Linked DNA regions of Macaca fascicularis. The protein of the gene in region 2 interacts with the protein of the main gene of each other region in a pairwise test. Links are inferred from orthologs where the notes say so. Each region holds a gene or a part of one and is shown on either strand. Other genes may lie near its edges. The genes, in order: SUV39H1, CBX5, PRR14 and INCENP.

Region 1 (7,422 bases), on a different chromosome or scaffold from region 2:
GTCTTTGACCGGTGGTGCCGCCGGAGCAGCTCCCTCTCTAAGTCCTTGTGGAACTGCTTGAGAATACGCACACACTTGAGATTCTGCCGTGGCTCCCAGGTGCTCTCTGAGTCTGGATATCCGCGCCATTTCACCAGGTAATATTCCTGTTCCTGTTGGGGGTGGGTAGGGGAACGGTGGTACCATAAGTGGTGAGATCTTTGGGCCAGCCTTCATGGGGCTTCCATGCCAAAGCTGATGGATAACACCTAACCCACCCCACCCCTTTTCTGGAATGACTTCATGCGGTGGTTAAAAAGCATGGGCTCTAGCGTGAGGATTACCAGGTTCAAATCCTGCTCTCCCCCTTACTGTCTGTCCAGACTGTTCCAACTTTTAATTAATCTCCCAAACCCACTCCCCTCCTTGGTCTTCCCCATCATCAGCTCCCTCCTTCTAGCTGTTCAGACCGGAACTCCTGGAGTCATCCTTGAATCCTCTTTTGTTCACACTTCCGACATCCACCCTCCGCACATCCCGTTAGCCCCACCTTCAAAATACATCCAGTGACAAACCATCATCACTGCCACCACTATGGCTCACCTGGACCCTGACAAGTCCTTGCCTGTTTTAGGCAGCTTACATGTATTATTAACTAACTTAATCCTCACAACCCGACATGAGGTGGATGCTCCTAGTCATCCCCCTTTTATGACAAAGGAAATGAAGTACTGAGGGTTTGGGTAGGTAAACACACCAGGACTGGAACCCAAGCATGCTGACTCCAGTTTGTTCTCCTAACCATCCTGCCACTCCCCCTTCTGGCAATAACTGTCCCCATTTCACAGTTGTTAGGGGATTAAATGAGTTTCCTAGAGGAAGCACCTGGCACACTGAAAGTGCTCAATAGCCGTTAGCTGTTGACATTTCCACTCTAGGGTTCAGCATCTCAACCTTTGCAGTTACTTTGTATTCCTAGGGAGATGGGAAGAGAATTCATTCCGGCTCCTGCCCCCATCAGAAAGCTACTTAGTTTCCCTATCTGTAACATAGGGATAAAAGGGTCTGTTCATCCTATTTTTCCAGGGTCAGAGGAGAAAATTCCCTTTGCAAACAGATGTGGGCAGTTGGGGACAAGAGGGCAGGACACTTAACTTCCTTGTGACCTGTCCCCTCCCAGAGCATGGTCACCCCAGACTCACGCGGATCTTCTTGTAATCGCACAGGTACTCGACTTCAAAGTCATAGAGGTTCCTCTTAGAGATACCGAGGGCAGGGCAGGAGAGCTTGGCCAGGCGGCACAGGTCCTGCAGCTGATTCCAAGAAGACTTGCAACACACGCTGCAGCCTGGATCAAGCAGGGCAGAAAGAACTATTACTGGGCAGTCTGACAAGGCCAGGTGTCAAAGGGGACCCCAAATCCTCCCTGGGACATCCCAAAGACTGCCTAAGAGTCAGGGAACTTTAATCCACAGGCCTTCCCCAATGCTGAGACTGTTCTACAACAGAAATGTGCTTTGAACCCCAATGCTCACTGCCCAAGGCTGCCCCTGGAGCAGCAGACCTCTGAGGGGGGTTTGCAACATGAATCGTCCTAAAGGAATCTATTTCCAGAGCTTCAAACTCCATGTCATTCCTAATACTGCCTGCAAACCTGCTTTGGGTTCAGGACCTGACTACCTTTCTCTCCACTTTGCAAAAGAAAGAGAACAACCCCCCATCTCAGTAGGATGCAATGCCCCGAGGTGTTGGGGGCGGTGGGCGCGGATGGGAGGACAAGATTAAAACCTCCAGGGCACCAAACAAAGGCTAACTGGAAAGACTGGTCTTTAATCCCTTATCTCAAACTCCTGGGCCAGATGTGGTTTGGAATTCAAAATTTTTTGGATTTTACAAGACTAGTTCTAGGATACATCACCTAACACCCCCAACGTGGCCACGGGACATCAAGCTATAATCAAATGCATTAACTGTCCTGCAGCAAAAGTATGAATTTCCCACATTAAAGAGGAGAAATAGAGATATAAAATAGCCTCACAGAATAGTTCCACTTTATAATCTACTTTTGCCATAAATGGTGCCAAATTTAAGAAAAGGATTTCAGTTTTCAGGGCTTTTTAGATTTCGGAATGATGAGCAAGAGATTGTGGAATGATACTACATTACAGGAAGGCTCCTTAAATGATCAATCTGGGTGCCTTAAATCCACAAGGTATATTTTTTCACACTACATTTTGACTTTCTGTCTCATCCATCTTTCTGTGAAGAGTAAAGCTCATCCAAAGGGTTATGCTCTGAATTTATATGCAAAGCAGTACAGATTAGTGACACTGATTCTTTTAAATATACCTGGTATATTTCTGGGGCTGCCAAAATTTTGTAAGACAGAGATTTTAAAAAATAGATTTCTTTCTGATTCAAGGCACATTCTTAATCAATGTGCTTTAGAAGCCATTTTATCAAATCACGTCTCAAAACATTCCAAGGGCAGTCAGTCCTCATCCTACTTCATCTTTTTAAAATGTTTAATATTTTCTGCCTCCCATTGCAAAAATCACACTTAAACTCTAGATGTCAACCTAAAAACGTACAAGAGCTTTTCAAAATTATTTCGTGTGCAAGCCATACCCCCCCCACTTAGGCAAGATCAAGTGGAGACCGAGCCCGCATGTGCCCACGCTTTCCTCTCCTGGCAAACCCCTTCCTTCACTTGCATTCGAAACCCCACTTAAGTGGTCCCAACTAATACCTCCAGCTGCTGGCTCCGGAACTGGCCACAGGTGGACTCTCCTGAACCCCTCAGAGGTCCCCCAACTTGTGGAACCCGTCCTCCCTGCGGCTTTTGTCACATAGAGGGGCCCCCCAACATAACTGAGTCACCCCTCTTTCCCTGCACATGGGGGAGTCCAGCTGTCCTACTAGGAAGGCCCCATTTCCCTCTTCTGGGGGATCCTCTATTCCAAACCCTTCCCCCATCACGCCGAGAGGCGATACGTTCCCCCTGAAGAGTTCCCTGTCCCCGCACTCTGAAGGGGGGGTCTGTCCCCCTTATCTTCCCTCCCCTTCCGGCGTCTCGCGTGGACACCGAATGGGTAACGGTCACCGGGGGCCGATTTTCCCGCGCGCGGGCGCGGCCTCCCCGACAAGCCCCCGCGCGTGCGCGCGCTGGTCCGGTCGCGATCTGCGGCGCGCGCCCCCCTCCTGCGTCCCCACTTAGCCCCAGGCCCGCTGCGTTCCGAGGTACGCGCCCCCTCCCCTCAGCCCCGCCCAGCCCCGCGCACCAGGCCCGCGCTCCCCGAGCTCCATCCTTTCCGCGCCGAGCTTCCGGCTCCCGGCGCCGGGGCCTCAGACGCCGGGGTCCCGAGCCGGCGACGCCACCCCTCCAGCCCACCCGGCCCGGCCAGCGGGCCCGCGCCTCTGTCTCCACTGCTTCACCTTTTAAATTTTCCGCCATCTTTCCCCACGGCTAACGACATTCGGGCCTAGCCGGCCTCGCGAGAAGAGAGCTCGCGCGGGCGTGGCCGGGAACGCGCAGCCTATTGGCCGCGGCTCGCGACTCGCAGCACCCGCGCGGACCAACCGGAGAGCCGTGACCGAACCCCTCCCTGCCGCCCGGCTCGGTCCCGGAGGCGGGTGCTCGCCGCACTTTCCCAGAGTGCGTCTGGGCGGCGGCGGCAGCGGGAGCGACAGTGGCGGTAGCTAAAGTTGCCCGAGGCCCTGCCCGTGCGCTGGTCTGTCTGTCACACTGCTAGCCAATCACCTTATCAGCCAGTCACAGTGGCTCCTGAGTTCTGTCATACTCCCTATTATCACCGTCAGTCAGCCCGTCATCACATTTTAACCCCAAGTAGGCCGGGGCTCCCAGGTGGACTAGCGCCCCATCCAACCGCTCAGGCGGTCGCACCAGACAGATGCCTAATCAGACCCCCGGCCCCCATCCACACTGCCGGGCAGTCAATACCGGTTTCCATTTGTGCCCCCGGGCCAGCGGCGACTCCCTGGAGGCAGGCAGACAGCACTGTTAGCCAGCCAGCCTTATCATTCCCTATGACCGTCCTGTCCTCAATTAGTCCTCCTCTCCACCCACCATAGCCCTGGGACCAGCTGCGATTCTCTCTGGCTAAATCCTCTCATAGACTGCAGCATCCAGCCATGCCCCCAGGCGGGCTGTGATTAGGTCGGGGCAAGCTGTCATTGTCAGCATCTAATACAGCCCTGTCGGACACTATCAGTTGATCACTGTCTTTCCCTCAGATTACTTCTCATTCACACCATGATCAGTCACAACACCCAGCTAGGCCCTCAAAGCAAATAGTCACAGCAACTAGAGGTAGGATTAAGCCTCCACACCACCTGTCAGTGGGTCAGCCAGTCTGTCATTTCTCAGGCGACTCATCCCCACCATTGGTCAATCAGTCTCCTCGGATGCGTTGAAGCTGAGATTCTATCAGAGCAGACAGTCCGTAACCACGTACAGCCATCGAGTCAGACGGTTATGCTGATTTTGCTGCTGGCCAGCTGGCCTGTGACTCGTTCAATCCGCCCCTCATCACATCGTCAGTCATTCTCAGCATCCGACTGACCGCACCGTCTGTCAGGTGATCAGTCAGTCAGAGCACCCAGCCAGGCCCTCCAGCATGCTGTGATTCGAGCAGCGTGGACAGTTGATTACCAGATACAGCTGCCTAGCAAGCAGCCACGGATCTGTTGATCAGTCAGCCTGAGGTTTCCCCAGGTGGCCCTCCTTTACACAGTGCCAGACAGTATAACATCTAGACATTCCCCCAGGCCAGCTGTGATTCCTGACAATAGTCATTCACAACATCTGGCCACCCAGGCAGGCAGTAGCACCACGGACCATCAGTTAGTCAGCCTGCAAGGTCCTCAGGAGGCTGCCTGTCTTTTCCACTGTCAGGCTACCAGCCCCAGCCAGTCCTAGGCAGGCTGTCATTCAGTTAGATGTTCAGGAAACCGCGCTGTCACTTCCTCAAATTGCCCCCTCTCCCTGTCACTCCATGAGTTCTGTAGTCAACCAAACGGTTATACAGTTAACCAAACAGATATTCTGTCTGCCTGCTAGTCCAGCTGTGAGCTCATTAAGAAGTGACTGGCTGGTCTGAGGTTCCGTCAGCCCTAGCTTGCCCTGAGTGGGACAGACAGGAACAGAAGTCCCACCATGCATCCCCTTCCCTCCCTTATTCCTTCTCGAGCAGAATCAGATTTTCGTCCTCATGTACCCCCAGTCTCCTCGGGCAGCAGGACTCTCCCACTCCTGGGTGTCCAGGAGACCTGTCCAACCCACAAGAGTGATTTAAGACAGGACCTCTGCCTGTCTGGATCTGAGGGGGAGACAAAAGGGTCTGTGGCCGGTGGTGCCCCAAACCACTATAAAGTAGTGGGCAAAAGCCTGGATTCTGGAGCCTGACTACCTGGACTCATATCCAGGCTCTGCCATTTACTAAATTACTTGTCCTTAGGCAGTTTCTTTTTTTTTTTTTTTTTTTTTTTTTGAGACGGAGTCTCGCTCTGTCGCCCAGGCTGGAGTGCAGTGGCGCGATCTCGGCTCACTGCAAGCTCCGCCTCCCGGGTTCACGCCATTCTCCTGCCTCAGCCTCCCGAGTAGCTGGGACTACAGGCGCCCACAACCGCGCCCGGCTAATTTTTTGTATTTTTAGTAGAGACGGGGTTTCACCGTGGTCTCGATCTCCTGACCTTGTGATCCGCCCGCCTCGGCCTCCCAAAGTGCTGGGATTACAGGCGTGAGCCACCGCGCCCGGCTGTTTCTTAAACTGGTCTGTAAAACCTCGAGTAAGTGACCTTGGGGTGGGTGTCTCCTGCTCATCTGGAAAGTGAATCATTCTGGACTAGCACTTTTTCAGGAAACCTCAAAAGTTAAGAGGCCATCTCAGAGCTACCGTGTCCCACCTCCAGCCATTTGTCTGTTCATTCAGCATTAAATTAATGGCTACTGCGTTGCCCTATGCTGGGGCCAATATAAGGTTTTATTCATTTCAGGCTTCACAGGTTTGACCTGTTGTAATGTAAACCTCAGATTGGAGTGTAACACAAATACAGATGGGTACATAGACCAGGGGTGAACACTGTAATGAGTTTTCTTTTTCTTTTTTTTTTTTTTTTTTTTGAGACAGAGTTTTGCTCTTTTTGCCCAGGCTGGAGTGTAATGGTGCGATCTCGGCTCACCACAACCTCCGCCTCCCGGGTTCAAGCGATTCTCCTGCCTCAGCCTCCCGAGTAGCTGGGATTACAGGCATGTGCCACCACCCTGGCTAATTTTGTATTTTTAGTAGAGACGGGGTTTCTCCATGTTGGTCAGGCTGGTCTTGAACTCCCGACCTCAGGTGATCCACCTGCCTCGGCCTCCCAAAGTGCTGGGATTACAAGTGTGAGCCACCGCGCCCAGCTGTAATGAGTTTTCACAAGCAGACCTACATGTGGAACCAGAATGCAGGCTGAGCAACCATTTAGCCAGATCTCAGAAGCATTTAATTGTTTTGTATAAATCTATTGGGTACAAGTGTAATTTTTTTTTGTTTGTTTGAGACAGAGTCTCACTCTGTCGCCCAGGCTGGAGTGCAGTGGCGTGATCTTGGCTCACTGCAACCTCTGCCTCCCAGGTCAAGCGATTTTCCTGCCTCTGCCTCCTGAGTAGGTGGGATTACAGGCGTGTGCCACCATACCTGGCTAATTTTTGTATTTTTAGTAGAGATGATGGGGTTTCACCACGTTGGCCAGGCTGGTCTCAAACTCCTGGCCTCCAGTGATTCACCTGCCTCAGTCTCCCAAAGTGCTGTGATTACAGGCGTAAGCCACTATGCCAGGTCACAAGTGTAATTTTGTTACACAGATATTTTGTGTAGTGGTGAAGTCAGGCATTTTACTGTATCCATCATCTGAATAATGTACATTGGCCTCCCAAAGTGCTGGGATTACAGGCATGAGCCACAGCGCCTGGCCACAAGTGTAATTTTTTTACATGGATACATTGTGTAGTGGTGAAGTCAGGCATTTTACTGTATCCATCAACTGAATAATGTGCATTGGCCTCCCAAAGTGCTAGGATTGCAGGCATGAGTCACAGCGCCCGGCCACAAGCATAATTTTGTTACATTGTGTAGTGGTAAAGTCAGGCATTTTACTGTGTCCATAGCCTGAATAATGCACATTGTACTCATTAAGTAATTTCCTCATCATCTACTTCCTTCCCACCTCCCCACCATTCCAAGTCTTTGTTGTTTATCATTCCACATGCTATGCCCATGTGTACACATTATTTAGCTGCCACTTATAAGTGAAAAGATTCAGTATTTGTCTTTCTGTTTCTGAGTTGTTTCACTCAAATTAATGACCTTCAGTTCCATCCATGTTGCTGCAAAAGACATGATTTCATTGTTTTTATGGCCGAATAGTATTCCATTGTGTGTA
Region 2 (6,760 bases):
TTGGTGAATTTTTTAAGAATAGAAAGGGGCTTTGAAATGTTTTGTTTTGAGACAGAGTCTTGCTCTGTTGCCCAGGCTGGAGTGCAGTGACTCGATCTCAGCTCACTGCAATCTCCGCCTCCTGGCTTCAAGCGATTCTCCTGCCTCAGTAGTAGCTGAGATTATAGGCGCACGCCACCACGCCCGGCTGATTTTTGTATTTTTAGTAGAGACAGGGTTTCACCATGTTGGTCAGGCTAGTCTTGAACTCCTGACTTCGTGATCTGCCTGCCTCGGGCTCCGAAAGTGTTGAGATTACAGACATGAGCCACCATGCCTGGCCGGGGCTTTGAAATGTTTACCATGTCACTTCCTTTTTTCTTTTTTCTTTTTTTTTGGAGACAGAGTATCTCTCTGTCACCCAGGCTAGAGTGCAATAGTATGATCTTGGCTCACTGGAATCTCCACCTCCTGGGTTCAAGTGATTCTCCTGCCTCAGCCTCCCAAGTAGGTGAGATTACAGGCACACGCCACCATGCCTGGCTAATGTTTTGTATCTTTAGTAGAGACAGGGTTTCACCATCTTGGCTGGGCTGGTCTCAAACCCCTGACCTTGTGAGCCACCCGCCTTGTCCTCCCAAAGTGCTGGGATTATAGCCGTGAGCCACTGCACCCGGCCCTTTTTTTTGTTCCAGTGATAGCATTTGCTTTCAATCGTTGATAATCTTTTTTTGCAGTGAAAATCATATAATATACAATTAAATATTTTATTTATTTTTATTTATTTATTTTTGAGATAGAGTCTTGCTCTGTCACCCAGGCTGGAGTGCAGGGGCATGATCCCAGCTTACTGCAACCTTCACCTCCTGGGTTCAAGCAATTCTCCTGTCTCAGCCTCCTGAGTAGTTGGAATTACAGGCATGTACCACCGCAGCCAACTAATTTTTGTATTTTTATTTTTATTTTTTATTTATTTATTTTTTTGAGATGGAGTTTCACTCTTGTTGCCCAGGCTGGAGTTCAATGGCATGATCTTGGCTCACTGCACCCTCCGTCTCCTGGGTTCAAGTGATTCTCCTACCTCAGCCTTCCAGAGTAGCTGGGATTACAGGCATGCACCACCATGCCTAGCTAGTTTTGTATTTTTTTTTTTTTTTTTTTTGAGACAGTCTCGCTCTGCTGCCCAGGCTGGAGTGCAGTGGCGTGATCTTGGCTCATTGCAAGCTCCGCCTCCCGGGTTCACGCCATTCTCCTGCCTCAGCCTCCGAGTAGCTGGGACTACAGGCGCCCGCCACCTCGCCCGGCTAGTTTTATTTTTGTATTTTTTAGTAGAGACGGGGTTTCACCGTGTCAGCCAGGATGGTCTCGATCTCCTGACCTCGTGATCCGCCCGTCTCGGCCTCCCAAAGTGCTGGGATTACAGGCTTGAGCCACCGCGCCCGGCCTAGTTTTGTATTTTTAGTAGAGAGAGTGTTTCTCCACGTTGGTCAGGCTGGTCTTGAACTCCGGAACTCAGGTGATCCACCTGCCTTGGCCTCCCAAAGTGCTGGGATTACAGGTGTGAGCCACTGCGCCTGGCTCAATTAACAATTTTAAAGTGTACAGTTCAGTGGCATTTATATTCTCTCGATCTATTAGTTCTACATACTTGACGTACAAAATTAATTTTTGTCTTTTGAATCTTCTTCAGTTTGGGAAGTGTATGAAATTTTGGTTTGATTTAGTTGCTTTAATCCTTCTGATTTTTAGCTCTCAAGTAAGTAGAATAAGCACTGTTATTGCCTCTCTCTTTTTTCATCTGTGTGTGGGCGCATAAATACACACACTCTTCCATCTCCTCCCGCCCCCAGCTTCCACTCCTTTCATTTATTTCAAGGTTATGAAGCCTTTTGTGGTGAAGGATGTATCATACACTTTACATTTAATAAAAGCATAAGTCTACTTCGGAATCTTCCAGCCTTCCAGAGTAGCAGCCACAATCATCCCTATTTATCTTCATTGTAATTAGATATATACCTTTCTAGAACATTAGTTCCTAACCCTGTCTACACATTATAATCACCTGGGGGGTACGTTGAAAAAATTTCTAGTGCCTAAGATGCACCCCAGACCAGTAAAATTAGAATTTTTTTTTTTTTTTTTAAGACAGAGTCTTGCTTTGTCACCCAGCCTGGAGTGCAGTGGCACGATCTCACTGCAACCTCTGCCTCCTGGGTTCAAGCGATTCTCCTGCTTCAGCCTTCCTAGTAGCTGGGACTACAGGCACATGCCACCACACCTGGCTAATTTTTTGTATTTTTAGTAGAGACGGGGTTTCACCATGTTAGCCAGAATGGTCTCAATCTCCTGACCTGGTGATCCAACTGCCTCGGCCTCCCAAAGTGCTGTGATTACAGGCATGAGCCACCACGCCTGGCCTCTGTCATTTTTAAAAAGGAGCTGTCTGAATAATCTGGCTTAGAAGCACTGGCCAGTGCAGAGAATTTTTGTTCTTAGGCCAGGTTCTGAAGCTGCCAACCTTGAAAACAACCCCCACATGTCCCTTACATCATAATGTTCATCTGGGGCCCCTGATAGCATTCTTAGCAGTACTGGCTGCTGTCAGGTAGACAGCTGAGATGATAGGTGATTGTATGTTTTAAAGGTACAGGAGGGGATTGTGTATCTTTTTTAAGACCCCTGGAGAAGAAATTTGTTAGTTTGCATTATGCCTGATTTAAGATTACTGCCTGTATGATGATTTTAGCATTTTCTTCGCCCCGGCTCCTTTTCAGCAACTTGAACATTTTTCTTCCATTTGCCTCCCCTTCCCTCCCTATGTAGCAAACTATTTTCAGTTGCCAGTTATGATTTACAACTTAGTCCATGTGCCAGCATTCCAGCTGTGAGCAGCTGTGTGAACATCTGGGAACTTCTTCCCCGTAAGCGCCCCTAAAAGAGGCTATGTTTTTAAAAGTCAGTATCTCTCATTGATCCATGCATGGAATTTCCTTCCAATTGTGGATTTTGGTATCTTTGGGGACCACCCGGACCCCACATGCTTTGTATGTCTCAGAGGAAAGCAAGTGAACATAAGATCAAAGAGATTTTATTATGAAAATCAGGCAGTAGATATTTAGTTCATTTGGGCACCTCTAAATCTTTTTTTTGTGTTGTCACTGGAGAGGCTAACATTATCTTCCATAATAAAGTTTTTAAAAATTCTCTAGTTTAGGCCGGGTGTGGTGGCTCACACCTATAATCCCAGCACTTTGGGAGGCTGAGGCATGTGGGTCACTTGAGGCCAGGAGTTCGAGACCAGTGTGGTCAACATGGTGAAACCATGTTGAAAATACAAAAATTAGTCAGGCGTAACTGGGTGTGATGGCTCCCGCCTGTAATCTCAGCACTTTTGGGAGGCCGAGGTGGGATGGATCACCTGAGGCCAGGAGTTTGAGACCAGCCTGGCCAACAAGGTGAGACCCCCATCTCTACTAAAAATGGAAAAATTAGCCAGGTGCAGTGGCATGCACCTGTAATCCCAACTACTCGGGAAGCTGAGGCAGGAGAATCACTTGAACCTGGCAGGCGGAGGCTGCAGTGAGCCGAGATTGCGCCACTGCACTTTAGCCTGGGCAACAGAGGGAGACTGTCTCAAAAAAAAAAAAAAAAATTACCTGGCTTGTATAAAATTTTGCTTTTTGGCTCTCATCAGTATTATTACACCTGGATTAGAACCTGTGCTCCTTGTCTAGATTGTATTACTGCATTTAGACCAAGTTTCAGTACTCATCTCATCAATTATCAAATTTTCTTCTTTCTGTCTTAAGAGACAGGTTCTCACTATGTTGCCCACCATGGAGCACAGTGGCATGATCATAGCTCACTGCAGCCTCGAACTCCTGGGCCCTGGGCCTCAGCCTCCTGAGTTGGAGTAGCACACTTCAGGTGTGCACCACTGTGCCCAGCTAATTTACAGAGACAGTTGCCTATGCTGGTCTCCAACTTCCAGTCTCCTCCTGTCTCAGCCTCCCAAAGTGATGGGATTACAGGCATGAGTCACTGCACCAAGCCAGTTTTTTGTTTTTGTTTTCTTTTTTGTTTTTGTTTTCAATCACAGTCCAGTTCTGCCTTCTAATGCTAGCAATCATCTACATCCAGAGGGGATAGGCATTGACCCAGGGCCTTCTGTCCAACCAAGCATATAAGTATTGGTGTTTGTGATCTCTGAAATTTTGCTATTTAATAGTATTGGCCTTGCATAATTCTTACCTCTATTCTTTCATAAATATAGGCGACTGTGAAATGTGTTAAAATTATTGGTTAGTGTTAAGGTAAACTAAAAGTCTAAAAAAATAAAGATTGAGAGAGAGGTAGTATATTTGAAGTTCATAAGATGAAAAGATATAGTTAGGGTAAACAGGGTATTCTTTAACATTTCAGAAGCTTATTTACAATATTAAGGAGATTCCAAGTGAGTGGGATTAGAGGAATTCCTAGATGTTGACTCCAGAGTATCTTTTTTTTTTTTGAGACGGAGTCTTGCTGTGTTGCCTAGGCTGAAATTCTGTGGTGCGATCTCTGCTCACTGCAATCTCCGCATCCCAGGTTCAAGCAATTCTCCTGCCTTAGTCTCTCGAGTAATTGGGGTTACAGGCACCTGCCACCACGCCTGGCTATGTTTTTGTATTTTTAGTAGAGATGGGGTTTCACCGTGTTGGCCAGGCTGGTTTTGAACTCCTGAGCTTGTGATCCGCCCGCCTCGGCCTCCCAAAGTGCTGGGATTACAAGCGTGAGCCACCGTGCCTGGCTGACTCCAGAATATCTTATAGGACATTAGAGACTTTTAGGGTTCACCTCTAATCTTCTGGAGGAATTCCAGGAAAGATAATCACATCTTTTTTTTTTTTGAGACGGAGTCTTGCTATGTCGCCCAGGCTGGAGTGCAGTGACCGGATCTCAGCTCACTGCAAGCTCCACCTCCCGGGTTCACACCATTCTCCTGCCTCAGCCTCCCGAGTAGCTGGGACTACAGGCGTCCGCCATCTCGCCCGGCTAGTTTTTTGTATTTTTTAGTAGAGACGGAGTTTCACTGTGTTAGCCAGGATGGTTTCGATCTCCTGACCTCGTGATCTGCCCGTCTCGGCCTCCCAAAGTGCTGGGATTACAGGCTTGAGCTACCGTGCCTGGCCGATAATCACATCTTACAAAAATATCTCTTGGCATCACTGTCACTTCATTGTCACTGTCAGTACTTAGTATTAAGTTCTAAAAATTTTTCTGAATTGGTGACAGAAATGATATCAGGAGATATTAACTTAGGTTGTGTTTTGTTGAGCCTAGAAACAGGGAGTTTCTTTACTCTTTCCACAAGCTGTAACCTTTCTTCGTCTTCTATTTATAGCAGAGCAATGATATCGCTCGGGGCTTTGAGAGAGGACTGGAACCAGAAAAGATCATTGGGGCAACAGATTCCTGTGGTGATTTAATGTTCCTAATGAAATGGTGAGAGAGATTTGGCTTCATGTTACAATTGTGTTTCTTTGCCAGTGACTTGAATTTGTGCGGAAGATAGGGTGGCAAGATTGTGTATTCCCAAACCATGAATTTTCAATGTCAGAGATTTTTTTTTTTTAAAACAGTGTTTCGCTCTTTGTTGCCCAGGCTGGAGTGCAGTGGCGCAATCTCACTCAGCTCACTGCAACCTCCGCCTCCCAGGTTCAAGTGATTCTCCTGTCTCAGCCTCCCAAGTAGCTGGGATTAGAGGCGCCCACCATCATGCCTGGCTAATTTTTGTATTTTAATAAATAAATAAATTAATTAATTAATTTTGAGGCAGAGTCTTGCTCTTGTTGCCCAGGCTGGAGTGCAATGGTGCAATCTTGGCTCACCGCAACCTCCACCTCCGGGTTCGAGCAATTCTCCTGCTTCAGACTCCCAAGTAGTTGGGATTACAGGTTATGCACTGCCATGCCTGGCTAATTTTATATTTTTAGTAGAGACAGGGTTTCTCTTTGTTGTTCAGGCTGGTCTCAAACTCCCGACCTCAGGTAATCTGCCTGCCTTGGCCTCCCAAAGTGCTGGGATTAAGGCATGAGCCACTGTGCCTGGCCCATTTTTGTATTTTTAGTAGAGACGGGGTTTTGCTGTGTTAGCCAGGCTGGTCTTGAACTCCTGGAATATCAAGAGATCCTTGCTGATACCAATTATTGGTGTTAAATGGGAATTATGCTTCAGAATGGCTTGCTATTAAGCCAAATTATATTAGATTACATATCAGAAAAAAAGGTAACTTTGAGGTAGAAAATATGTAAAGGTTGGGTGCAGTGGCTCACACCTGTAATCCCCACACTTTGGGTGGTCAAGGCAGGCGGATCGCTTGAGGTCAGGAGTTCGAGGCTAACCTGCTTAACGTGGTGAACCCCCATCTCTACTAAAAATACAAAAATTAGCTGGACGTGGTGGCGCATGCCTGTAGTCCAGCTACTTGAGAGACTGAGGAAGGAGAATTGCTTGAACCTGGGAGGCGGAGGTTGCAGTGAGCTGAGATCTAGCCATTGCACTCCCGCCTGAGTGACAGAGCGAGACTCCGTCTCTTAAAAAAAAAAAAAAAAAAAAATATATATATATATATATATATATATATATATAAAAACAACATGACTTAACCATTTGTTTACACAGTTCTGAATTACATACTGTAAGACTATGGGCCTGTGACCCTGGGCTAGACATCAAATGAGGCTTTCTGCCATCCCTGAGGGCCAAACCTGCTGAATAATGTCTGAAAGAGAAAAATAAT
Region 3 (7,420 bases), on a different chromosome or scaffold from region 2:
TGGCGATCTTCAACTCCAGCTTCATTGGGGGGGACGGGGGCGGGGGCTGTGGGGTTTTGTTGGGTGTGAGGAAGATGTCAGCAAAGCTCTCCAGCTTGGAGCGGACGGAACGGAAGAGCGGGGCCAAGCCCCAGGGACTGAGGCGGGGGCGTAAAAGGCTGGACGGTGGTGGGGTGGATGGGAGCTCCAGAGCAGGATCTGGGGCTGAGGAAAGGAGAGGTCACAGGTGGATATTCCTTGGCTGCAGTGTCTCAGCCCCTCCTCAGTAGCCTCAGCCCCTCCCTGCATGCTCAACTTTGTGCACAGAGGAATTAGCCCACCCCTAAAACAGTAAGTTCTGCATTTAAGAATTGAGCTTCAAGTCTCTGACATCATCATCCCATCTTCATATACCATGCCCTGCCCTGGGAGGGTAAGCCCTATCCCCACCTCTGTACCTGACACTTCCAAGCTCAACTAGGATGTTCTAGACCCCCAAGTCTCATCTGATCTCTACCCAAGTCCTTACCTGGTGGTGGGCTCTCTGGAGGGTCTGCAGGCAGAGCAGATGGCTGGAATGGGGGTTCTCGGTCCCCGGGTGGAGGTGTTGGCTGGTGAACTGTCTTCATGGGCTCAGCTCTGGGGTGAAGGGCAAAGTAAAGGCTAGGGGAACTTCCAGGTATCCCACCTGAGCCAGCAACTCCCCTATCCCTTAAGGCTTCTTCTTCTTCTTTTTTTTTTTTTTTTTTTTGAGACAGAGCTTTGCTCTGTGGCCCAGGCTGGAGTGCAGGGGCAGAATCTCAGCTCACTGCAGCCTTGAACTCCATCCCGGGCTCAGGCAATCCTCCCACCTCAGCCTCCCAAGTGGCTAGAACTACAGGCAAGGACCACCACATCCAACTAATTTAAAACAATATTTTGTCTGAGCTTGGTGGCTCACACCTGTAAATCCTAGCACTTTGGGAGACCAAGGCGGGTGGATCACCCAAGGTCAGGAGTTCAAGACCAGCCTGGCCAACATGGTGAAACCTCGTCTCTACTAAAAATACAAAAATTAGCCAGGCATGGTGGTGGATGCCTGTAATCCCAGCTACTGGGGAGGCTGAGGCAGGAGAATCACTTGAACCCAGGAGGCGGAGGTTGCAGTGAGCCGAGATCACACCATTGCACTCCAGCCTGGGCAACAGAGCAAAAACTCCGTCTCAAAAATAAACAAATAAATAAACAAAACAATGTTTTTGTAGAGATATGGCCTCACTGTGTTGCCCAGGCTGGCCTCAAACTTCTGGGCTCAAGCGATTCTCCTGCCTCGGCCTCCCAAAGTGCTGGCATTACAGGCGTGAGTGTGCCTGGCCCCTTAAGACTTTTTAAGATGTCACAAGGAAGGATTGGATCAATCAGTCCCGATGCCCCTAGCTCTGGCTACCTGGATGATGGCTGTTGCCTGGATCCTTTGAGAATCCCTACTCCAGCTCTCTCACCTTTGTGCTGGGATGATGAAGTTGGGGGTCTCATCAATGAAGCCCTGGATAAAAATAGGGGAATGTTTGTGGGGAGGCAGGGAAGCCTCCTTAGTGCCCCACATCCTGACTCTTTCAGTTCCCAGATACCTGCTTGGGTTCATGCCAAAGAGGTTTTTATATAGTCTTTGCTCAGGTAGTGCCTGCCACCTAAAATGCCACTCTCCTCACCCCAAGAAAAATCCACCTAAGACTCAGGCCTCCCACCCTTCTTCTATCCCTGCTGGAACCCAGTAGAACCCTTGATATCCATACCCTCAGTTCCCATACCTCAGCTGGGGGTCTAGGACTGGCAATGTCTTCCAGCATCACCACCAGGGTGGGCTGGGGGGCCTGGTCCACCTTTTGTGAAGGGCCCTCCTCTGGGCCAGGGGTTGTTCTTGATCGCCGCCTCAGGGTGGAAGAGGTCCGGTGGACGCGGCTCAAGGGCTCGCGACACAAACACAGAGGATCGGGAGGCCTAGGGAGGGAACGGGAAGATTAGAAGGGCTCAGCTGGGCCCTTGGTTTACCCCCATCCTGCCATGCTCACCTGGCCTTCGAGGACCACCCGGCCTGCCGGGGTGGCGAGGCAGGAGGCTGCATGTGGACAGGATCCTGACGGCTGTGGTGCTGTGGGATGGAGGTCTCCTTTGAGGGTACCACGGGGCCCTGGAAGAGAAAGAGGTGTCAAGAGCAAGGTGATGGAATGAGGCTGGATGGGACAAGGTCTCCCTGTGCCTAACAGTGCCCTGAGCCACAAACATAACAGAGATTAGGGCTAGAATTCACTCGGATCCCCAGAGAAGAGATGAATTGGACTGAATTAGGGGCCAGATATTAAGAGTCCTAAACTGCAGGTGTGGGACCTGGGTAATCTCACCCACGCTGTTTAGGGAAACAGACAGGGTGAGCTAGGGTGGGTCACTGCCTTTTTTGGGCCACAGTTTTTCTTATCTGTGCAGTGGAGTCAAAGACCTCAGCCTGCTTCCTAAGGAGGCTGGGCTGGGAAGAAAGCAGAAGAGTTTCAGCCCGGCGCCGTGGCTCACGCCTGTAATCCCAGTACTTTGGGAGGCAGAGATGGGAAGATCACTTGATGCCAGTTTGAGACCAGCTTGTGCAACATAGCAAGACCCTGTCTCTACAGAAAAAAAAAAAAAAAGATAGAAAAAAAAAAGATAGAAAAAAAAAAAAAAAAAAGAAGAAGAGTTTCTCAGAGTTACAGGGATGTGGTTCCATCCCAAAAAGGTTGGTGGGGGGAACGGGCACTGCCCAATTCTAGGTTGGAGTAAGTGGGAGCCAAGCAGGACTCTAGCATGAGGGAGGCTGCCTGAGGGATGGGTACAACAATGATGGATTTGGACTTCAGTTATCCTCAGTAGCGATCTGGCCCGAGTTTGGTAGTGAGGAAAGTCAGGGGAGAATAGAGGGTCTCTCGGTTCAGGGGGCTCACCATGTGAACAGCCATGATATCTTCCAGCACCACGGCCAGGACCCGCCGAGAGGCCTTTTCCAGGGGAGAAGGGGCCCCCGGGGGCTGCAGCCTCGGCCGTTTCGGGCTCCTGGCTCCCCATAATGCTCGAGTCAGAGGCTGGCGGCACAGACGCGCCTGGCTAGGCGGGCTGGAGGGTGAAAGAAGCAGAGGACGGTCGCCCGAACCTGTCGCCCGAACCTGTCGCTGGCTCTGTAGTTTCCCGGCACGGCCGCCAGGATCCCCATCTCCCGGGGTCAAGACAGGCGGGCCGGGTGCGCTCTCACCTGGGGTCCCCGGGCAAGTCCATGGGAGACGCGGCGGCTCCAGGGGGTCCCTGGGGAATCCCAGGCTGCGGCCTGGGGTAAGGGGGGAGCGGGGGAGCGGGGGGTGAGGGTTGGCCCCTTCCCTGGGGCTCCGCCCTTCATGGTCCGCCCGCGGCTCCCCGTAGCCCAGCGGCCGCAGCCCTGGGGCGCGAAAGGGCGCCCCCGGTCGGTCGCCCGGAGCGGGTGTCCTCCCGCTGCCACCGCCTCGATCAGCGGATCACTCGCGCCCTGCCTGGCACCTGCCGCCAGAACCCAGAATGCAGCGGCCCCAGTTCTCCCGCGGCCCGAGCCTCCTGAGGCCTTTGTCCCTGCAGATTGTGCCCCGGGATCCACGGGGATCCCGGTCCTGGGAGGCTATTTCCGCTGGATCCCTCTGTGATCCTCCTCCTCTCACAGCGAGTGGCCGAGGACTCCAAAGCAATACTCCACACATCGACGACCCTCCCTCCCACCAGATCCCCTAGACTGGATCCCTGAGGAAAGAATCCTACAGCGCGGTTCCGCCAATCAGACGCCGGGCGAGGCTTCTCCTTCCCCTGTGAGCTTCGGCGCCGCAAAGCTCCTATCAGACAGGGGCGGCCCGAGCTGGAGCATCTTCGAACTCAGCCTAGATCCCCAGGGATCCACTGTCAAGCAGATACCCCCTTCACGCCAATCCCGGGAGGTCCCGCCCACAAACGCCCCCTCCCTCCTTGCGTCCCCGCCCAGCGGTCTCCCCCGGCCCAAGACCAGATGGTTCAGAAGTTTCCTTCCCCGCCCCACCCCCGCCCTCTCCAGCCACTCCTTGCCCTCCCCAAAGCGTTGCTCACCGCCGCCTCCCGTGGATCCCGGGTCTTCCGCAGCTCCCACCTCCGGCTCCTTTAAAACCAAGCTTACCCAAGGCTGCCCAACCGCCGATGGCCTTCTTATCGGGGCCTCTGGACACCGCCCAATCGCCGGTCCCCGTCTTCCGGGGTGGTGAAAAACTAAGTGAAGCCACCTGGCGGCCATCATCCCTAGGGGCAGGAAGCCAAACTGAGTGGCGCCGCCATGATGGTTGAGGGCAGATGTCTTAGTCCTCGTTGAACCATGGTGGACTGGGTGGCGTCATCTTTTGAGGGCCACATACAATGCCAGGTTTCTTGATATGTTGAGGCAACCGATTGAAGCTAGAGTGCCGCCACGTTTTTTAAGGGCATCTTCCGGTTCTTTGGTTCTTAGACCAATAAACGTCGACTGAGTGCTAACGATATGAGAAATTCCCAATTTCCTAGAGTGGCCTCGTTTGAGGAAGTTTCCGGCACCTTCCTGCGTTCCTAAATTGGGTTCCCACAACCCAGGGTCCGATTTTAGGAGTGGGTGGCGGAGGCCCTGACTCCGAATATCCGGGATCAAAGACGGGCTGGTGCGGCCTGTGGCTCCGTTGCTGGCGCCTTGTCCTGGAGATATGGGGCCGAGCCGAAGTGGGGAGGAGACTGGGGGCGCTGAGCTTGACTTCCCCTGAGTATTGTCTACGGTACTTCTTTCCGGAGGAGTGGGGGTGCCCGCGGTCCGCGCAGAGGGCTACAGGACAGGGGCGTCTTTGCAGGAGGCCAAGAATATAGCTTGGCTTGCTCGTGGGGCCCGGCTCTCAGGAACCACTCTCTCAAAAGGGGCCTTCATGATGGGGGAGGTGTAAATAGTTCTGAGGAGTAAGGGATCAGGGTGAGACGCTGTTGCTTGGAGGAGCTGCGTCATGGACCGTTTACCGGGAGCTGGGCTATTGGTGGGGAGGAAGTGGGCATGTAGTGGCTTCTTGTAGCACTATGAAGGTGACCTGACCGCTTAACCAAAGCCCGTGTCTGTGCTAGTTCTCCTTCCCCAGATTCCCTGATCCAAACCAGTCCTCCTTTTCTTTTTTATTTATTTTATTTTATTTTTTATTTGAGGCAGGGTCTCGCCTTTTTGCCCAGGCTGGTCTTGAACACCTGGGCTCAAGTAGTCCTCCTGCCTCAGCGTCCCAAAGTGCTGGGATTACAGGCGTGAGCGCTCAGCCCCAGTCCTTATCTTGTTTTCTTAACAGAACGAGAGACCCTGAAGCCTAGAATCCTGGGTCCGAGATAAGGTGCAGAGGTGCTTCCTGGTCTAGGTGTCATAATTCTTTCTCAGGGGATTGAGTGAAGAAAGTGATAAAACAGGGCCGGGTGTGTGCTGGCTCACACCTGTTATCCCAGCACTTTGGGAGGCAGAGGATAGCGGATCACTTCAGGCCAGGAGTTCAAGACCAGCCTGGGCCACATGGCAAGACCCCATCTCTACAAAAACAAAAAACAAAAAATAAGCCGAGCGTGGTGGCGTAAGCCTGTAGTCCCAGCTACTCAGGAGGCTGAGGTGGGAGGCTCTCTTAAGCCTGGGAGCTCGCAGCTGCAGTGAGCTATGATCACGCCACTGCACTCTAGGCTGGGCGACAGGGACCCTGTCTCAAAACAGACAGACAAGGGATGATATGGAAAGAGCATAATCGGGAAATGGAAATGAAATGGAAAGAGCTTATGTGGGAAATGGAGGCTCCCCAGCTCTGTCCCTAAGGACTCAGGCAGGGAGACGTTCTTCCAGGACTACAGCATCTCTGGAACAGGAGATCCACTGGGCCCTCTGGAAACGCATTCAGAGTTCTGGTGGGAGCAGGCCATGGGTCTTCCACGTAGAGGCCTTCTCTCTCCCTCTGGATCAGGCCTGGCAGTCTGGTGCCTGAAGAGGTACAGTGATGTTTCATTCAGCTGTGAGTGCTTGGAGATTCTTCCAACCTTGCCAAATTAGGAGCTAAGCCCCACAAGTGCTTTTCAGGCCCCAGGGCAGGAAAAACCTTCAAAAGCAGAGCAGGCCTAACCTGAGTTTTTAGGTATTTTTTATTTGTTTGTTTTTGAGATTATCTGTCACCCAGGCTGGAGTACAGTGGCGCCATCTCAGCTTACTGCAACCTCCGCCAGGGTTCAAGTGATTCTCGTGCCTCAGCCTCCCAAGTACCTGAGACTACAGGCGCTAACCACCATGGCTGGCTAGTTTTTTGTATTTTAAGTAGAGACGGGGTTTCGCCATGTTGGCCAGGCTGGTCTCGAACTCCTGGCCTCAAGTGATCGGCCTGCCTTGGCCTCCCAAAGTGCTGAGATTACAGGCATGAACCACCACGCCGAACCCTAATCTGAGTTTTGATTCTCTAGGTCTCTTGAAGTCAGTGACACCAAGGGCAAAAGATGTAGTCCAAAGAAAAGCCCTGGACCTGAGTATTTGGTAGGAAGAGCCCACCAGTGTGACCCTAACTTGGAGTGCTAGAATTCATCAAATGGAAATGTAAGGTAGACTGTGGCAGTCTTGGCCCTTAGCCTAGGCCAGCAAATGTGAGTCCTCATGGTCTTGCAGTCTCACCTCTGCTCTTTTTGTGACTTTCCATTTCAACAACTTCTACTTTGCCCACTCCCTACACAGGTGGTGGACATACTGTGGGGTGTACCCCAGTGTATGCTGCTGATGCAGTAGCAAGAGGGCCCCACACAGACTCCAGTGGGGCTGCTGGTGTGGCCGTTGGTGCACTTCGGTGTGTCATTCAGAAACCCAGGGTCCGTTTCGACTGTGGGTGGCCCATCTTTCTTTTTTCCTTTCTTAGACAAGGTCTTGGTCTGTCACCCAGGCTGGAGTACAGTGGTGCGATCATGGCTTACTGCAGCCTTGACCTCCTGGGCTCAAGTGATCCTCCCACCTCAGCCTCCCAAGTAGCTGGTATCACAGGTGTGCACTGCCACACTCAGCTAATTTTTTTATTTTTATTTTTTTGAGACAGAGTCTTTTTTTTTTTTTTTTTTTTTGAGACGGAGTTTCGCTCTGTTTCCCAGGCTGGAGTGCAGTGGTGCAATCTCAACTCACTGCAACCTCTGCCTCCCAGGTTCAAGCGATTCTCCTGCCTCAGCCTCCCGAGTAGCTGGGATTACAGGCATGCACCACCATGCCCAGCTAATTTTTGTATTTTTAGTAGTGACAGGATTTCGCCATGTTGGTCAGCCTGGTCTTGAACCCCTGAACTCAGGGGGTCTGTCCGCCTTGGCCTCCCAAAGTGCCGGGATTACAGGCATGAGCCACCGTGCTCTGCCAGTGAGAGAGAGAGAGAGATATATATATATGTGTGTATATTTT
Region 4 (6,760 bases), on a different chromosome or scaffold from region 2:
CTCAGGCAGCAGAAAGGGAGTATCTAATGCTCAGAGAAGGCAGAAACCCCATTTTTGTTTTTTCTCTTTTCTTCTTTGCCTTGTGCCTCAGCCCATAAGCAGTCCTATGGCAACCAGAGGCAGCAGCAGTTAAAGAAAGCTGCCAAGTCAAAATTCGAGGGAGGAGCTGTGAACCCAAAAGTGTGGCCCAAACCCTGCGTGTTGCTCTTCTGTCTGTGCCCCTGCCAGGTGACCCTGGACAGAGAAAGCTGCCGAGTCAAAACTCAAAGGAGGAGCTGTGATCCCAAAAGTGTGGGCCAAATCCTGTGTGTTTTTCTTTCTCTGTCCCCCTGGCAGGTGGCCCTGGACACAGTCGTAGAAGCACGCAAAGCAGAACAAGGTAACTAAAGCACCAGCTTCCCAGCTGGAGGACAGAAAAGGAAGTCCCAGAGGAGATCAGGAAAATGATACTGCAGGGAATTGACAAACGAATAGGCTCAGCTCCAAGCTGCAGATGCTAGGATCTCACCCTAATTATCCCAGCAAAGGCTGAGAACTAAACTAACAGACCACCTTCCAGGTCCCAGGCTGACTGCTGACTGGCACACACACCCGGGAAAAGTCCAAACAGCACTGCCATCTTCAAAATCGAGACTAACATTGGAACCACAGTCCCCAGAAGGCAGATGGGAACCTGCAGCCTAAACCTAACCAGGTCAATTGCTGCTAAATTGCAACGCTGAGAAAATATCAACCTTGTCCATAGATTTAAACAAGACCCAGAGGCTTGTAGCCTAATGTTCAGGATGCAGTCCAAAAGGACTCTGTAGGCCCCTGGGCTCCTAACTATGGACTGTCCCTACCCACTAGATGCCCTGTGCAGGGACCTGGGATCCCCAAAGCAGGGAAGAGCCACTTCCTGGTCTTCTCTATCACCCCATGAAACCTGCAGGGCTCTGATCGGTCTGGGTAGGGCACAGGTGGTAAGGCCACTGGAAGGTTACTGTCAGTCACCCTCTCCAACAAGAGGGGAACAGGCCTCCATGGGGAGAAGCCAGTTCAGGGCCCACCTGGCCAGCTGCTGGGAAGCCCCTCCCACCTGCCGAGGCCCTCAGCTGGAGGCAGAAGCCCTCCTGGCTGTCACAAGTGTCCCTGTGTGACTGCAGAGGACTCTTCAGAAGGCTTGCAGGAACCAAAGGAATGAGGCGGCTGCGGCCTTGGCAAATGGCACGGGGAGCTGGGGCTGAGGGTTAAGCATGTCCCCATCCAAAGGTCCTTGCTCAGAAGCCAGCCTGGCTCAGCTCAGTTCTGAGGTGTCTGAGAAGAGAACAGCTTCTGCGACTTGTTTCTAGATGTTACCACTCACTGTTCTGCTGTCGCCCAGCACAGCCAGACCCGGCCTTCCACCTCAGCTCAGACCCACACTTGCCCTCCCCTGTCATCCCACTGCCTCAAGGCTACTGCTCAGGTCTGTGAACCAATAAATCTCAGTGGCTCTGGGGACCACAGACAACCTGTCTGTTCTCTTCACAGACCCACAGACCCTGAGGAGGCCTGGTGCTGGGGAGGAGGCAGGGAGGTGGCTGTGGGGAACACGTCAAGCTGTAGCCCTGGTGAAAAGCCGCACCCCCTCGCTTCCTCCTAGGAGCAGAGTCAAGGGCAGGGAGGGCAGAGAAAGATGCTGGGGCCCAGAACTGCTGGGCGCCTCCAGCCAGTGCACTCCTCACCGTCCCACTCTCTTCCTAAGGCTCCCCTCCCGCTTACGATGTTAGTGCATCTACAGGTGCTGTCAGCTACGCAGGGAAGGGGCTACAGCGGGTAAGTGCTAGGTGGGGCGGGTTACCGACAGGAAAAGGCTTTACTTACGACAAAGCTGCACTGTGGAGAGGAGACAAGGGAAAAGGTAAGAGTTAATGCCAGGCCGGGGGACGTCCTGCCAGGCAGGCCACATGCCCAGCTGTGCCAGCAAGCGTGTGTGGGGCCCGCCCTCCTGCCAGCAGCACCCCCAACGCCTCTCCTGTCACCCAACCCTCACCCCAACGGTGGAGGTGTCCACAAGTACTCCTCACCTTAACCACACAGATCTCCAGGGCTTACACTGAGCCGGCCGAGCCTCCAGGCTGCAGTCCAGAGCCCACAGGTCAAGTGCAGGACAGTGCCCCCAGAGGTCAAGACAGCTGGTGGCCACAGAGGCTTCAGCTGGCCCCTAACAGTGCCAGGCCACACCTGCCTCCGCCCAGGCTCACACTACTCCCAGTATCTTAGGGGACAGACTGGACCTTCAGCCACACTGCCTGGTTCCCACAAAGCCCGACCTGGGCACAGGCCCCTCACCTTGGGGTCCACGCGCAGGGGAGTGTTGCGCTTAATAAAGGACTTCATGACGCTGCGGGGGGCTGAGGTCGGGGTCATGAGCATCTGGTTCCTCTGCACCGTGTGCAGAAAGGTCCGGAGGGGCCGCACCACCTGCAGACGAGGACCAGGGTCAGGAGTGGGCAGGCGGGGCAGGGTACCGAAGGGGGTCAGGGTTCTAGGGCAGGGCAGACGCCTGGCTCACCTTGCTGGATGGGCAGGGTGAGGAAGGGGTCTTGCTCCTGGGGGGCTGCAGCTCCTCATCCTCCAGGTGCTGCTCCTCGTCCAGCTCACTCACCGCCTGCTTGTAGCTGCGCTTCCTCCTGCCACGGCGCAGGCGGCGGCATCACAGGGCTGCCCACCACAGCCCATCAAAAGTCACCCCGGTGAACAATTCCGGGCCCAGGCCACCGGCCTCTAGGCTGAAAGAGGCTGCAGAGCCTAACCAACCCTCTGCTGCCCACTCAGAGGAAGGGAGGTGAACAGTCCAAGGTCACATGGCCAGGAGACCGCCCTAAGACGGGGTCAACAATTGGTTCGCCCTATTCCCAGGCTGGCGCTCATCCACAGCATGGAGCCGCCTCCTTGGTTAAGTCTCAACACCAGGCCACACCCCAGCAGAGAGGCTCTGAAGCCCCCGAGCACAGATCCACCCTCCCTGAGCAAGGACACAAGGCCATGTCCTCCAGGGCCCTCAGAGGAACCCGCACACCCCTTCCCTGATGCAAACCTGGCACTCTGCGGTGGCTCTCTGGGTCCATCTGCTTGGTCTGTCTTGGCCTCTGTGAAAACAGCAATTTCAGCAAGGCTGCAGAAATGATGGCGGCGGCAGGGTAGGAATGGGGGCCTAGGGGGAAGGGGTCCCTGGGCAGCAGCCTTGGCAGTGAGCAAGGCTCCCTTCCTGGCAGCTCCGGGGTGGCCAAACGCAGACGTATCAGCCTTAACCCTGACTAGCCTTGAGGAATCTACAGATACCAGGGCCTGGCTACCCGCAGCTCATGAACCCCTCCCCGCCAGTGCCTGGCTCTATGGTAGGCAAGGCAGGGTGGGACGGTCCCGTCGAGGCGGCAGCCCCAGATGTGCCCCACCCACCTCTGACACTAAGAACAGTGTGTGGACACCTTGTAGAAGCAGGAGCTCTAAGCCCCTTGCACAGATTCTAAATCCCACCCCTCCTGGGCCATGCGGCTGGTGTGGCCATGACGGGAGGAGGGGGTGGCTCCGGCTGCAGGGTCAACATGCGGGGTGTAGGGTCAGTATGTTCGTTTCACTGCTAGGAGAAAGTGCACGTCACTCCAAAAGTTCCCCGCAGCAGCCCTGAGGGCCGTGAGGCTGGCATGACCATTGTCCCTGACCACGTCGCAAAGAGGAGGAGGCTATGTTCAAGATCTCATAGCTATAGTGCACTTCCCACCAGAGAGAAGCACCCTTCTCACCAGAGAGAAGCACCCTTCCCACCAGAGAGAAGCACCCTTCCCACCAGAGAGAAGCACCCTTCCCACCAGAGAGAAGCACCCTTCTCACCAGAGAGAAGCACCCTTCTCACCAGAGAGAAGCACCCTTCTCAGGGAGATGTGAGCAGGACCCTGGGACACGCCCAAACCCACTGTTCTCCAGCCCTCTTTAGACGGGGATGGACCGACAAAGGTCAGAAAGGAGCTGGCAGCAGAGGCAAAGCAGGAGGCCAGGTGCGTGTTCAATTCCCAGCCCACGGCTCTTCCCACTGGCCCCTGGAGTCGAGGTCAAGGCCTTGACCTGGCCTCTTCATATCCGTACCCCAATGCAGCCCCTTCCCCTGCTTCCTGTCCCAACCAGCCACAGCCCCCCATGCAGCACTCAGTGACAGCTCCAGCCCAACAGTGGGAGGTGAAACCTACAGACTCAAAAGGGATCTCTGCACCCCCAGGTTTAATTTCTCTTTAGCCTACTGGCCCAGAAATAGGGCTTCCTTATCCCCAGAGAGAAGGTCAGGCCGAGGCCACCAAGGCCCGCTGTGGCTCTGGGCACTAAAGGCGGCAGGTCAGGGAGCCTCACCTTGCTGCCCTGCAGAGGGCGTTTCCGGACTGCTGGCTGCAGGCTTCGGGTTGGGTGTGCTATTGCCAATCTCCGTGTCATTGCGGGGCCACGAGTTATTTCCGTTGTTCTCAGGGACCTGTGGAAAGAACCAAGGCTTTAGGGGTCTCGACCTGGAACCCAAGGCCCAGGATGGCCGCAGGGAAGAGCGGGAGCCCCAGAGGTGAGTCCTCCCTTCCCCAGGCAGCCGCCTTACCTCTGGCTCAGCTGCCGCTACCGGCTCAGCCTCCTCGGGGGACTCCTGCTCAGGACTGAAAACAGAAGAGGGGACTCTGTGGGGACTGCCCAGCTAGTCCAAGCCCTCCCCCATAGGGAATCCCTCTCCTACTCCAGGGATGGGGGACTCAAAATGTCAACACAAGGTGCCCTGGCCAGGGCCACCAACCCACAGCCCCTGCGGGATGGGAGGATGGCAGCTCCAAGCCATGGCTCCGTGGGCACACGAGGGATGTCAGCTTCAGAATGTGGCTTCATCTCCCAAGCACCCCACCACACAGCTGACACAGAGCCCTGTCCTCAGTTCCACCTCCACCTCTTGGACCCAGGTGAGCTGCATCTCTTTTGTGGTCTGTTCTCCATTCACCATGGGGCGGGCAAGGCCAGCAGGTCTGCCCAGTCACCCTGTTTCCCCATCCCAAGAACAAACCCTCTGCTCTGCAGGAAGGAGGGAGGGGCTGGTTTTAGTGATGGCAGGACACGGCCTCCAGGAAAAGGAGTCTGTGTCCCGGCCAGAAGCAGCACTGGGTGTAATCCTGGAGCACCACTATCCTACCCCAGCCAGTCTGAATGGCAGCTGGCAGCTCCGCCTCACCCCCAACCTCTGGAGCTCACACCCCAGGGTCAGGTCTGGCCAGGCAACCAGCAACACTGACGGGCGCTGCAAGGAGACCAGGCGACCAACACTCACGTCACTCACTGCCTGGTCAGACAGGGGAAACGGGCAGCCCCTGGGCAGTCAGGGATCAGTGGGGAAGGCTCAGCCCAGGAATTGCTTCCAGCCTTGGTGCTCACCTTGGCTCCCTGTCCTGGTGTGCCCTGCCCACTTGCAAAGCCCTGGAACTGAACTCACCCAACTTTCTCGGGCACCTCAACATTCAGAAGCCTCTCCAGGTAACTGTGACCTGAGGGGGAAAAGCAAGGCACAAAAGATGTCACCAGAAACCACTCGAAGGGGTCCAGGGGACCAGGTTCCAGCAAGGACCTGGCCACTGCTCCCATCACTAGCCCTGCCATGCCCAGGACCCTCCCCTCAGCACTCATCCTAGTGTCTTTATCGGAGTTCCTGGCTTCATGTCCCCTGCTGCTTCCCAGATGGTCTTCCCATGCCCATCTGGGCACAGCTGGGCATCCTCACTGGGCTGGGAATATCTTGAGAAGAGGGACAATGTCTGTTGCAGCTCCAGGCCCCAAACTCCCAGCATGGGGCCCAAGACAAAGCAGCTCATTCTGTTAACAAATATTCATCAAGTGCCTACAGTGTACTGGGACCTGAGCCAGGCCCCAGGGCCCCAACGGTGAGCAAAACAGAACCACTGTCTGGTCTAGATAACAATCATCAAATAGTCCCGTCAACAACACCAGCATGGCCAATGATGGAACACAGCACAGAAATTTTTTTTCTTTTTTTTGAGACGGAGTCTCTCTCTGCTGCCCAGACTGGTGTGCAGTGGAACCTCAGCTCACTGTAACCACCGCCTCCTGGGTTCAAGCGATTTCTGGCTAATTTTTGTATTTTTAGTAGAGACGGGCTTTCACCATGTTGGCCAGGCTGGTTTTGAACTCCTGACCTCAAGTAATCCACCCGCCTAGGCCTCCCAAAGTGCTGGGATTACAGGCATGAGCCACCGCGCCTGGTCCAGAGCAGAGAATTTTAAAAGCCTATGACAGGGGGACCTGAGCTGGTCAGGAGGAGTTTACAGACAAAGGAGGAGGATGTCCAGGCCAGTGGTTCTCAGCTTGCATTCTCTGATCCCTGGATGTCCTTGAGACCCTTGGGGGATCCACGAGGTCATAACTAATCATGATACTAAAATCATGATACTAAAATATTACTTTCCCCCTTTCACTGTGCTGACACTTGCCCTGAGGGCACAAAAGCAATGAGGAACAAGCTGCTGAAGCCTCAGCCCCAATTGAGGCCAGAGCATCAAACACTATCCTCGGACCACACACTCACAGGAAGGAGAGATGTCCAGTTTCACTGAGGAATGTCCTTGAGGAAGGTGTAAAAAGTACTAATTTTTTTTTTTTTTTTGGAGACAGACTCTCACTCTGTCACTCAGGCTGAATGCAGTGACTCAATCTCAGCTCACTGCAACCTCCACCTCCTGGGTTCAAGCGATTCTTGTGCCTCAGC

What was found.
Region 1: the proteins of CBX5 (region 2) and SUV39H1 interact in binary tests that used the Homo sapiens proteins (3 or more experiments, as listed by UniProt). The link is inferred for Macaca fascicularis from reciprocal best matches to the Homo sapiens genes CBX5 and SUV39H1.
Region 3: the proteins of CBX5 (region 2) and PRR14 interact in binary tests that used the Homo sapiens proteins (3 or more experiments, as listed by UniProt). The two-hybrid records come from large-scale screens. The link is inferred for Macaca fascicularis from reciprocal best matches to the Homo sapiens genes CBX5 and PRR14.
Region 4: the proteins of CBX5 (region 2) and INCENP interact in binary tests that used the Homo sapiens proteins (3 or more experiments, as listed by UniProt). The link is inferred for Macaca fascicularis from reciprocal best matches to the Homo sapiens genes CBX5 and INCENP.

What each region holds. Positions count from the first base shown.
Region 1 is NC_088395.1:48,849,699-48,857,120, reverse strand, and holds the start of SUV39H1 (histone-lysine N-methyltransferase SUV39H1), read right to left. Parts: upstream 4,549-7,422; 5' UTR 4,385-4,548; coding exon 4,333-4,384; intron 3,458-4,332; exon of another isoform or gene 3,434-3,457; coding exon of another isoform or gene 3,415-3,433; exon of another isoform or gene 3,286-3,414; coding exon of another isoform or gene 3,261-3,285; intron 1,787-3,260; exon of another isoform or gene 1,328-1,786; coding exon 1,182-1,327; exon of another isoform or gene 153-1,181; coding exon 1-152. UniProt on the Homo sapiens protein: Histone methyltransferase that specifically trimethylates 'Lys-9' of histone H3 using monomethylated H3 'Lys-9' as substrate. Also weakly methylates histone H1 (in vitro).
Region 2 is NC_088385.1:61,087,237-61,093,996, reverse strand, and holds part of CBX5 (chromobox protein homolog 5), read left to right. Parts: intron 1-5,362; coding exon 5,363-5,463; intron 5,464-6,760. UniProt on the Homo sapiens protein: Component of heterochromatin that recognizes and binds histone H3 tails methylated at 'Lys-9' (H3K9me), leading to epigenetic repression. In contrast, it is excluded from chromatin when 'Tyr-41' of histone H3 is phosphorylated (H3Y41ph).
Region 3 is NC_088394.1:28,810,065-28,817,484, reverse strand, and holds the start of PRR14 (proline-rich protein 14), read right to left. Parts: upstream 4,113-7,420; 5' UTR 3,766-4,112; intron 3,308-3,765; 5' UTR 3,259-3,307; coding exon 3,236-3,258; intron 3,100-3,235; coding exon 2,931-3,099; intron 2,619-2,930; exon of another isoform or gene 2,456-2,618; intron 2,150-2,455; coding exon 2,031-2,149; intron 1,960-2,030; coding exon 1,770-1,959; intron 1,505-1,769; coding exon 1,461-1,504; intron 619-1,460; coding exon 509-618; intron 205-508; coding exon 1-204. UniProt on the Homo sapiens protein: Functions in tethering peripheral heterochromatin to the nuclear lamina during interphase, possibly through the interaction with heterochromatin protein CBX5/HP1 alpha. Might play a role in reattaching heterochromatin to the nuclear lamina at mitotic exit.
Region 4 is NC_088388.1:11,874,904-11,881,663, forward strand, and holds part of INCENP (inner centromere protein), read right to left. Parts: intron 5,526-6,760; coding exon 5,474-5,525; intron 4,656-5,473; coding exon 4,601-4,655; intron 4,484-4,600; coding exon 4,366-4,483; intron 3,114-4,365; coding exon 3,062-3,113; intron 2,655-3,061; coding exon 2,537-2,654; intron 2,446-2,536; coding exon 2,314-2,445; intron 1,858-2,313; coding exon 1,846-1,857; intron 1-1,845. UniProt on the Homo sapiens protein: Component of the chromosomal passenger complex (CPC), a complex that acts as a key regulator of mitosis.